Ovis aries: one gene and its partners. The protein of the gene in region 2 interacts with the protein of the main gene of each other region in a pairwise test. Links are inferred from orthologs where the notes say so. Each region holds a gene or a part of one and is shown on either strand. Other genes may lie near its edges. The genes, in order: SHTN1, FABP3 and NUP62.

Evidence for each region.
Region 1: the proteins of FABP3 (region 2) and SHTN1 interact in binary tests that used the Homo sapiens proteins (3 or more experiments, as listed by UniProt). The two-hybrid records come from large-scale screens. The link is inferred for Ovis aries from reciprocal best matches to the Homo sapiens genes FABP3 and SHTN1.
Region 3: the proteins of FABP3 (region 2) and NUP62 interact in binary tests that used the Homo sapiens proteins (3 or more experiments, as listed by UniProt). The two-hybrid records come from large-scale screens. The link is inferred for Ovis aries from reciprocal best matches to the Homo sapiens genes FABP3 and NUP62.

What each region holds. Positions count from the first base shown.
Region 1 is NC_056075.1:36,865,612-36,869,260, forward strand, and holds part of SHTN1 (shootin-1), read right to left. Parts: intron 1,718-3,649; coding exon 1,549-1,717; intron 1-1,548. UniProt on the Homo sapiens protein: Involved in the generation of internal asymmetric signals required for neuronal polarization and neurite outgrowth.
Region 2 is NC_056055.1:236,034,090-236,038,322, reverse strand, and holds the start of FABP3 (fatty acid-binding protein, heart), read right to left. Parts: upstream 2,948-4,233; 5' UTR 2,884-2,947; coding exon 2,811-2,883; exon of another isoform or gene 1-2,810. UniProt on the Homo sapiens protein: FABPs are thought to play a role in the intracellular transport of long-chain fatty acids and their acyl-CoA esters.
Region 3 is NC_056067.1:55,982,591-55,985,422, forward strand, and holds part of NUP62 (nuclear pore glycoprotein p62), read right to left. Parts: intron 473-2,832; 5' UTR 410-472; coding exon 1-409. UniProt on the Homo sapiens protein: Essential component of the nuclear pore complex. The N-terminal is probably involved in nucleocytoplasmic transport.

The DNA of each region.
Region 1 (3,649 bases), on a different chromosome or scaffold from region 2:
AGCCCTTAAATATTATTTGAACTGACTCAAAATATAACCTATTTGAAAAAGGGTTAATTCTAATAATTTTCTCTCCAGAGTTGTGGGTGTTTTGTTTCTTAATTTATTTCATATTTCATATTATTGAGATTAACTGAAAACTGTGTTACTAGAGTAAAAATATTAGGCACTATAAGAGCAAAAGCTTCTGGTGTTATATTAAAGTTACTTCTACTGCTCAAATGTTAAAAAAATAAAAAATACATGGACTAGCACAGTACTTAAATTTATACCCAGGCCCACATAGTTTTGCCACTTAGCTTTTAAGTGCTTTTAATTTCTTACCCTTCTCCAAGGACAATAAGACAAGCTCTATATGGTTATTTACTAATAAATTAAATCAAACTTTTTACATGAACCCAGATTAATGAAGGGGCTCTCAAGACACTTATTTCAAAACCACTTTCTCCACTGCCAGACTAATCTTGAAAAAGAATCAGAGACCATACTATTCAAGATCTAACAGAAAGGAGAAATAGAAACAAAAGGAAAGCCTTTAAACTTCCTCTCCCCATTCCTGCCAACATAAATACAATTTTTTCTTAGGTGAGAGGGTAACAGGGGCTTCCCAGGTGGCTCAGTGGTTAAGGAATCTCCCTGCCAAGGCAGGAGATGCAGGAAACGCAGGTTCAATTACAGGATCAGGAAGATCCCCTGGAAGAGGAAATGGCAACACACTCCAGTATTCTTTCCTGGGAAAGCCCATGGATAGAGGAGCCTGGTGGGCTGTGGTCAGTCCATGGCATCACAAAGAGTTGAATACGGCTTAGCAATTGAGCACACACAGGGTTAAAATGGCTTTCTTTTTACTTTCTTCTTTATATTTCCAACTGAAGTTTTATCTATCAGACCAACAAATATTATTCTTGACATATACAGTAAGTTAAAATGCTCCAATAATTACCAAGCCCTAGACTGTTTTCCTACATCCTAAACTATATGTGTGTGTTTATTTATTAAAAGAGTTAATGTGTACTTCACAGATGTATTATGTGGTTTTGTCTTATAGAATCATTTGGGGACCAACACAGTTGCTTAATACTACATATTGCTTCTAGTTCATTGCCTGAATCTTAGGAGAAGTTCTTAGAGGGCAGAGACAAAGCAATTTCGGGAGGTATCTTCCCCAAAGATTTCAACAGAGAAATCCGACTAACAGAAGGTGTTGGCCAAATAAATCTTTATTCATTCTTTCTTTCATTTAACAAAAATATCTTAACACACAGTCCTATCCTTAAGACATGTATAGGTTAACTGACTGTTCCTGTCAAGATGGCGCTTTCAAAAGTATCTAATCCCAAACAAGAAAGTAACTCATAAAGCTACAGTCATCATGATTCTCAACCAGACTACCCTCGGGGACAAATAATCAGAACTTTTTTCCAAAAAAGGACACAGGCATCAGTATTTATTGAAATCCTTATGTAATTTCAATGTGCAACCAGGGTTGAGAAGCATTATCCTAATAGAAGTCAAAACCATGTTCAATAATTAAGCCAGGAATCCTACCTTTGATCTGCTTCTGACACTGTACTGAGACACAAGTCTTGGCAACATCCTCCGGGTCCATGGCTGAATCTTCATCATCAATGTTAATCTCCTCAGTTATTACATCTGGTCCCAGCTTGGCCATGTATAACATGCTGATTCTTTTCAATGCTTTATTTTCTTTATTTAACTAAGGCAAATATAAAGACAGTTATTTTAATAGCAAATGAGTGTCTTGGGTTTTTATACAACAGTCAAATTAAGTGTCTTTCTGTCTACACATGCATCAACATTCACAGCATGAAACAGAAGAGTCACTAAAGATTATTTTATTTATACTTTTTAACATTAAACTAATTAAGACCTATGCCTTACATGTGAAAATGCTAGTTATAACGGATAAATACAAGAAGAATTAAGATAAAACACCAGAATAGATTATATCGAATTTCAATTTATCCAGTCATTAATAGTCCTAATTTAAGACACTTTATTTGGTTTGATGCTGTGCTGTGAACACCTTTTATGTGTTTGTCCCACACTCCCTGTTTTTGAGACACTGCCACTGGCCTCTTCATGTTCCACACAATTTCTGGAACAGCCAAGTTCTCCCAAAGCAATTCCTGTTCTCCTGGACAGGAACTCCTGTCCATGTGTCTGGATGTACAGTAGCTACTGGCAACCACACCACACGACTCAACTGAGGAATAGAGAAAGGCAGTCTGCAGCAAGGCCAAAATGGAGCCACTGTGCAGAGACAGAGAAAAGCAACAGACACTGGGTTTCCCACAGGGTTCCAGTCTATTCCTAAAATGCGACCAGCTCATGGATTCTATGGGATTCTCCAATATCGCTCTGAACAAACTCCTACTTTTTTCCCCCTTTTCTTGCTTAAACTAATTCAAATCATGTTTCTGTCTATTCCTAGAATTCTAATGATACACAACAGAAGAAAGTTCAAGCTATGTTTCTATTATCTCTATGTCATTGCAGATAAAGCAAACCTAATTCACTGATGTATTTAGCACGCCCTTTATGTAAAAAAATGAGTTGGTTGTTAATTATCATTACCTTCTTTAGCTCCTGTATTCATGTGCGTATAAATGTTATACAAAGCACACATAAAGACTAAACCTGATCCAAAGTCCACTGAAGGAAAATATGATTTTGCTTTATTCCCAAGACTCAAATATGAAAGATCTTCTTATTTAAGTAGGAAGTGTTTAGTAGATTGCTTTCTCTAGTATAAAATGTAAGATACAGTAATGTGCTTGCAGTTAGTAAGGGCTGTTGGCCATCAAAACAAGTTCTGAATTTAATAACTGACACTGAATATAAATACAAATAGAAATATTTCACCAGAACACTAAAGGCCCTTCTCCATGTAAACCTTACACCAGAATAAGATGTTTAGTATGGCACTTGTCTGGCTTTGGTCCTTCATTTGTCATCATGATTAGGACCCCTCAGGATTTCTCTCAGAGAAAGCCCAGCCCATATCACTAGCAAGGGCTGGAACACAAGAGGGTCCCTGACCTCTCTGGGGAATCAGGAAGGATCACTCAGGAATGGCTATGAACTCTTTCCTGGATTCTTCCTGGGAAGGCTGGCGAGATCCATTCAAAGAATCAGGCACAGACTTTTACTCCCAGTCCCCAGATATAGCTCCAGCTTCTAGCTCTCCATATCACAGGAGAGGATCAGAAATATGATCAGAGACCTACGATTTCCCAGTCCCTCCTCCTTCAGATGGACAATTCAAGTAAGCACTGTCGTGGCTTCTTTGAACATCGATGCTAGAGCACGGCACTAGAGGCTCAAGGATCACTGTCAATTCTCAAAGGATGATATCTTTTCAGAATGCAGGGAAAAAAGAATAATTTAAGAAAAGAGTGGAAAAACTCAAGAGCTAATTTGTAATTCTGCCTCCTAATAAACAAATGGTTCCCAGCCCAGCACATTACAATCTGTAGAGTTTAAAAAAAAACAAAAAAAAACTTCCCATATTTGACCTGAGGAAGCAGGCCCTCCCACCAGGCCAAAAATCTCTGGCAATAGAGTCCAGCATAGTACTTCTTCAGGGTTTCCCAGGTGATTCAAATGTACATCAACACTAAGAATA
Region 2 (4,233 bases):
GAGGCCTGAAGTGGTAGGCAGGCAGACCTCCAGTCTAGGTCTCCTGTGGGGACTCCCCTCGGCCTCAGCAAGGCTTCCCCAATGCTGCAAGAGAGCGTGCAACAAAGAGCCCTGCAGGTCATGGTTTCCCTCATAGCTGGCCTTTTGCCTCCAACTTCCCCTTCCAACAGTCTCTGCTGAGCTATTCTCCAAGGGCAGAGGCTTTGGTGAGGTGGTGGGTGGAAAGTCCCTGATATGCCTGGCTTCACGGGTGGTTTTACTTAATGTTTATAAGAGCCCTGAACTGTTGGCTTTATTATCCCCAATTTACAAACGAGGCTTTGAGAGTGAAGTGACTTGTCCAAAGTGAAAGGATGAGTGGTTTATCTAAATTTGAATTTAGGCTCCAAAACTGCACTATTCCTCTTGGGCCACCCTGTCTCCCAGCATGCACTTCATCGAGGTCCTGAGCCCGCCAAGTGTGCCACTTGGCGGCACTAACTGACACTGACACTAATTAGGCTGGGCCTCTTCGTCCTCCGAGAACTTTTGGTTTAACAAGAGAGGCTCAGGCACCCTTGGCAGCTGTGCTGCTGCTGGCCCACCCTGCCTAGCCACTGAGGGATTTGGCCTTGCCCCCTGTTATCAGGGGCTTCCCAGGTGGCGCATGGTAAACAAAAAATTTGCCTGCTAATGAAGAAGATGCAAGAGATGCAGGTTCAACCCCTGGGTCAGGAAGATCCCCTGAAAAAGGAAATGGCAATCCACTCCAGTATTCTTGCCTGGAAAATCCCAAGGACAGAGGAATCTGGTGGGCTACAGTCCATGGGGCCGCAGAGTCGGACACAACTGATCACGCACCTGTTATCAGAGTGAGTCAGGCTAATCCCACTCCCCAGCACAGAGCAGGACCTTGTCACTGCGCAAGGAGCTCTGTTTACTTAGGACCTACCCAGAGGTGTGGAGTGTTTGAGGAAGGAAGGCACTGTGGAGTCAGTGAGGGACTGAGCTAAGAGCAAGTTACAGAATTAGGAGACCTGGGAAGAGACAGATTCCACTTAGAAATGAAGCTGAAGCTATTTACTAAGAGCTGAGGAGGGTCTTTTCTCCCCTTAGGCCTCTCATTTTTTTCCATCTGTACAACAAGCAGGCTGGGTGGATTCTTAGACCTAACCCAAGTTGGGGCAAAATAAGGGAGCAAGGGTGGTAAGGATGGTGCAACTCACTTCAGGGACCTAGGTCTTCAGTTCTAATGTCTGCTAGGAGAGACTGGGGATTCAGGGTGTGGAGCTAGCTCTGGGCATCCTATCTTCCCTACCAACTGCCTTGGGCCTCCTACTTCTCTAAGAATTATTGCCTTCCTGGAGCCATTGGGCATAGTGCTTAGCATAGAGGGGCAGTTGAGCACTTTGGCCTCAAAAGTCAACACTTGTGCTTATTTCAGGGGTCAGGAACAGGTGGGAAGTGCCTGGGGTTGAGCCCCCATCCCCTCCCTCCTTGGTTAATTGCTGTAATCCAGCTGTCCCCTGGGAGGAAGGCATGGAACCTACCTCAACCATGAACATTCCAGTTTTCCCCATCCCAGCTTGGGGAACTGGGATAATCTCATAGTTGGAGATTCCAGAGAAGGAATGTGACCTTCTCCCTCTAGCCCGTATCAGAAGGGGAAGGGCTGAGGTCAATGATGAATTAAGCAGTTCTTATTACTCCCACCCCCAGGGCCTATAGTGGGAACTGCTCTGAGTTGTCGGGATTTAGAAATCTAGGTATTCACATCAGCTCTGCTGTGGAATTGATTTGACAAGTTTCTACTCTTCTGGATCTTGGCTTCTCCATCTGTTGAAGCAAGGCATGGGGATCTCTGGAGTCCTTCTCTGCAAGATTCTTTGAATCTTCATTCTCCTCCATCCTGGCACCACACCCTCCTAGGCCAAAGACCCTCCCTGCTGTTACTAGCTCTTGGCTTTGCTTCAGGCCTCTTTGCTTTACCCCCTAAACAGATACTTTTCCCAGTGAGCAAGTTATCCTTGGGCTGCAGCTGATGATGGGGCCTTTTGCCCTACCCTACCACTAGGCTGGTTGGTGAGAAAGGGCAACCTCTAGCAACAATCCTTTACCCTAACTAACCCAACAAAGAGGAACAGAGGTTCTTGTTAACTCTGCAGGCTCATCTTACCTCCTCAAAGCCTGTTCACAGCTGTTCCCCCTTCCATCTTTCTCCTGGGGACTACCTACTTTATACCTTAGGACACTTCCCATCCATTCTATTCCCTTTCATGGTTCAGTTTCCAGTTCCTAAACTGCCCATGTTTCGTTTCTTTTCCTCCCTCCTCACCTTCAATCAGTGCTCCTCTTTTACTCACACCCCTGCCTCCAGATCCTAAGCCCTAATTCCTCGAAAGTGCCTCCCTGCCCCTCGACATCGACCGACACAGCGGCCCCCTGGCGCCTCCTTGCCTGCGAATTTCTCTGACCAAGTTCAGATCGTTAAAGTCCCCTCCCAGCATTCCCTGGCGGTCCAGTGGCTGGGGCTCCGCGCTTCCACTGCAGCGGGGCAACCGTTCATCCTGGAATGGGGAACTAAGATCCCACATGTGTCGCGGGGAGGCAAAAAAAAAAAAAAAAAAAAAGCCCCCTCCCAACAGGCCTCGCATGCCCTAGCCCAGGCTGCCACCTTCTCCGCGTCTCCTGGCTCCCCATCCTTGACCAGGAGGGATGCAGCAGGCATACAGGATCTAGCCAGGGCTAGAGAACTGCTCCGATCGGGCACGCGGCCAGCCCCTCCCCAGCACAGCATCCATCCCAAGCCCAGCATCCCGAGCCGTCCTCACCGAGTGACTTCATGTAGTCATCGAAATTCTTGCTGTCCACTAACTTCCAGGTACCCACGAAGGCGTCCACCATGGTGAAGCTGGGCTAGGTCGGGAAAGAGACGACAGAGAACGCGTGCAAGGACGCTGGGACCAGCAGCTCCCAGCCCGCGCTGCCGCTTTAAAAGGCCCCTGTGTCACGTGACGGGGCGTGGCCCACACCCCCGGGCCCGAAATAGGAAGCCCCAAGCAGGCCCTCTCTCGCCCCGGGCTGGTCGCCCATCCCCCAATGCTACCAGCGGCGAAGTGGCAGCCGGTGGCGCCCAGTTTGCCTACGTCAGCGCGGGTCCCGGGCTCCGAGTCCCTGCCCCGGGCTGGTAAGCCCTGCTCCCTTCCCTGGCCTCAAGGCGCTCTTCGGAATCTGAGAAGGAAGCAGTTGGGGGCACGGTGTCCGCGAGCTGGGGCGCAGGCCACCGACATCCGTCCCCTGGTCCTTCTCCGAGCTTGGGGTCAGAACAAAGATGAGAAACCAGAGGAGAAAGGAAACTCGCCCTTGGGCATGATGCCCACGCCGGGAAAGCGCTGGCCGACTCTTGGCGGCGCTGGCATCATCTCGATCTTCATTTTACAGGTGAGGGGAGCCAAGATTCAGCGTGGGGCTGACAAGTTCGCAGGAAATAAAGAGACGGTGAATGGGGAGTCCAGATGGCGAGCCTGGTCTAGCTGGTCCCAGACCCCGTGCTCTCCCACCGCTCCCCACTCTGCCCGATGGCGGGGAGAGGCAGCGGGGGCAACGTGTGCCCTCTGCTCGCCCCCAGCAAAAGCGTGACCCTGTCCGTCGCCCCGCGTCTGCCCCACACGTGCTCGCCCCTCCCTGCGGAATGTCTACCGCGCGCCTTTCCGCCCAGCTGTCCAGCTCCCCCTCCACCCTGCCCGTGCGCCAGGCTTTTCTGACCTGTGCGCAACAGCTCCGAGCCTTTGCTCCTGTCGGCCGTTGCCTCCTCACTCTCCTTTCGAAATGCCCGTCCTTTTAGCCGGCTCTTCAAGGCTCAAGGACAGCTCCGTTCTGCCTGACTGCCGCTGGCCCCCAGCTGTCGTCCTTTCTCTGACCTTCCACCGGCAGTCAGCCTTCCACAGGCAGCCTGTACTTTCAGAGACTGTCGTTAATCTACCTTGTTTGACACTACACTTTCCAAAGCACTTTTAATAATAAGATCCACCTTGTGTTGTTTTTTTGCATGCTGGGGGCTTTAAGTGCATTGTCTGATTGAACTTTTAAAACCAAGTTCCTGAAGTAGGTGTTATTATTATCCCTTTTACAGAGGAGCAGACTTGAGGTTTAGAGGAACCCTTCCTTCTTTTAATCTAACAGTTATTAAAGCACTTACTTTGTGCCAGGCCCTGGGCTAGGCTCAGGAAAGACAACTGGGAACATGACACACAC
Region 3 (2,832 bases), on a different chromosome or scaffold from region 2:
GTGCCGCGCCCTGGGCGGAGGTGCTGGTGCTGGCGCTGGAGACGGCACTGCTGAGCGTGCTGCCCCCGAGCCCGAAGCCGCCGGGCTGGGCCGGGGCTGGGGCCGTGCTGCCCAGGCTCAGCTTCGGGGTGTTGCTCCCTAAGGAAAATCCGGTGGCTCCTGCTGCAGGCGTCGTGGTCCCGAAGCTGAAGGCCGGGGTCTGTGTGGCGGGAGTCTGGGTGCTGAGTGAGAACAGGCTGGTGGCAGGGGTGCTGGCAGCCGACTGGGAGGGAGTCCCAAAGCTAAACCCACCAGTACCGGACGTGGAGAAAGAAAAGCCCGTGGCAGGCGTGGTCGTTGCGGTCTTTGTGGTGCCAAATGTGAACCCTCCTGTGGAGGCCCCAGTGCCTCCAAAATTAAACCCGCTCATGGCTCCAGACTCTGGGGGCAGCAGCTACTCCGGCTCCAAAGCAAATCCACCGGTGTCTGCAACCTTGGGAAGATTTGCAAAGCAGAGGAAGTGACATGATCAGACGGCACATCTGGAAAAACCACCTCAGCGGCCTGATGGAGCTCAGTCTGCAGGGAGGTAGGCCTCAAGTCTGATAAGCGGCCTCCCACTCCTCTTCCTGCTGTGGAACCTAACCAGGCCCTGCTGAACTAGGAAAGATGGGCAAGGACGTAAGGCCCCCGCCCTGGGGGGTCTAGCAGAGTCAGTACCAGCAGGAGGCCCACTGCTTGTGGCAGGGGAGGCTGAAGAGGTGCTTTTCTCCCTGCTGACTGCACATGGGTGAGGGGCAGGCTGACTTGGCACCACCCCAAGAGTCCCTCTGGACCTCAGAGACAGGCCCCGGGAAGCTGAGTTACGACAGGGCCTTGGGTGCCAAAGGCTCCCTCTGGGCACACCCCGAGCCGGTTTAGGAGGAGAGAGAGCACGCGGGCGCAGTGCTCAGAGCACCTGGTGCTTGGCCGCAGGGACTGGTTTCAAGGGGCCGTGGAAACTCAGGCTGGCCAAGAGACCGCCCCACCTGCAGGTGCAGGGCACGGAGGATGAGCATCGGGGGACAGTGAGCGCCGCCAGAGAGAGCAGAGAGGAGAGCAGGAAAGGGCAGAGAGTGAGAGAGCCGCCAGAAACCGTGGTCCTGCTCAGCAACCCCACCTGGTCTTCATTAGAAGCTCGGGGAGCCAGCACATCCCTGTTCAGTGAAAGGTGACCGCTTTTTATCTGAAAAAGCCCTGAGCAAAGCTATCTGGTAGCTGCAGAGTCAAAGGTGACTTGGAGAAGAAAGAGTTGGAGGGCGTCCTGGGTAGAGGCATTTTCAGGGAAGTGATCACAGGCTAAGCACTGCCTGCTGGCGGGCTGCTCACGTAAATGACATCTCACTGCTGTCTGGAGGTGGAGATGGTGTCCCCACGTCCAAGATGAGGAAACTGGGACTCAGGGGGCTGTGGTGATCTACTAGGAGCTGAGCCCAGGCCACAGGCCCAATCCACCAAGCGCCCCGTCCAGCGCTGGCACCAATTACGGGGTCAACTGGGCATCAGATATAAGGCAAGCTCTGCATCCTACCGATACAGCCTCTTAACTATACTCAAGAAACGCTGGGAATGACAACAGAGAGGAGCAGAACACAGATTCACTACAGCAGTGTGATCTCTGCTATGGAAAAACACAGCTACCCTCAACAAGGAGGGCTGGAAAGAAATACACCGAGATGCAGGACTACACGCGGATGACCTCCCTGCTAATCTGCAGTAGCTTCCAAGTGCTCATTCCTGCCTGTACAGTAAACATAACTGATAAGCTAGGGTTCTGAAAACAATCCTCGAGTGTAAATCCACGCTGAAGAACCAGCGAACCTGTGCAGCCGGGTTCTAGAATCACAATATGAGCGGGACAGACGGGGTGAATTACACCACCTCCCCCAGGCTGGCACTCAGCCACATCTGGTCTTGGTTGTGGGGCGGCGCTGGATCCCAGCGGCTGTGCTGAAGGCAGCAGGGGAGCCAGCGCGTGGACGTTACACCAACACCAGGACCAAACATGGCCCTCCAAAGACACGCAGGCCCCGCCGCCCGGAGCCTGGGGCCAACGACCCTAAGTGGCAGAAGGAATTCTCAGACGTGACTAAGGATCTTGAAATGCGGAGGCAGAGACAGGACTAGAGAAGAGACCACCAGAAGGTGGAAGCGGAGGCTGGAGTAACGTGCCTTGAACTTGGGAGACAGAGGACGGCGCCACAGGCCAAGCAGTGCAGGTGGCCTTTACAAGCCGGAAAAGCCAAGGAAACGGCTCTCCCCTGCAGTCTCTAAAAGGAACCAGCCTTCCTTGATTTCAGCCCAGTGAGACCGATTCTGGACCCTGATCTCAACTTCAAAAGAATGAAGGTGCATCGTTTCAAGCCGCTAAGTTTGTGATATCTGTTGAGAGCAGTACAGGAAATGAAGACAGCTGGGGAGCAAAAGTGCCTGATGGGTACGGGGGGGAGCCCCGTGACTCTGGAGGACCCTGAGACCCAGCGCCCTCGTCAGGAAAGTGGAGTGGCTGCTGCGGGCCTGGAGCGTGGCCAAGTCAGGAGGGTGCGGTGCTCAAGGCCACGGTCCCCATGCAGACACACGCCGCACTGTCACCTCTGGAAGCCAGGGAGCAAGGGAGGGAGCCCTGAGGGTCTGTGAATCCAACCCAGCTGGGATGTTCTCAGGAAAAGACTGTGGTGGTAGCTGGCCTTGAGTCTAATGTGAACTCACGGTCGGCTACCACTGCCCTGCGGAGCCCTGGGCTATGTGACCCATTCCCGGTTGAGACAAGCGTGGTCCGGGGGCGGCTGGCTCGGGCTCCGACAGCACCCCGCC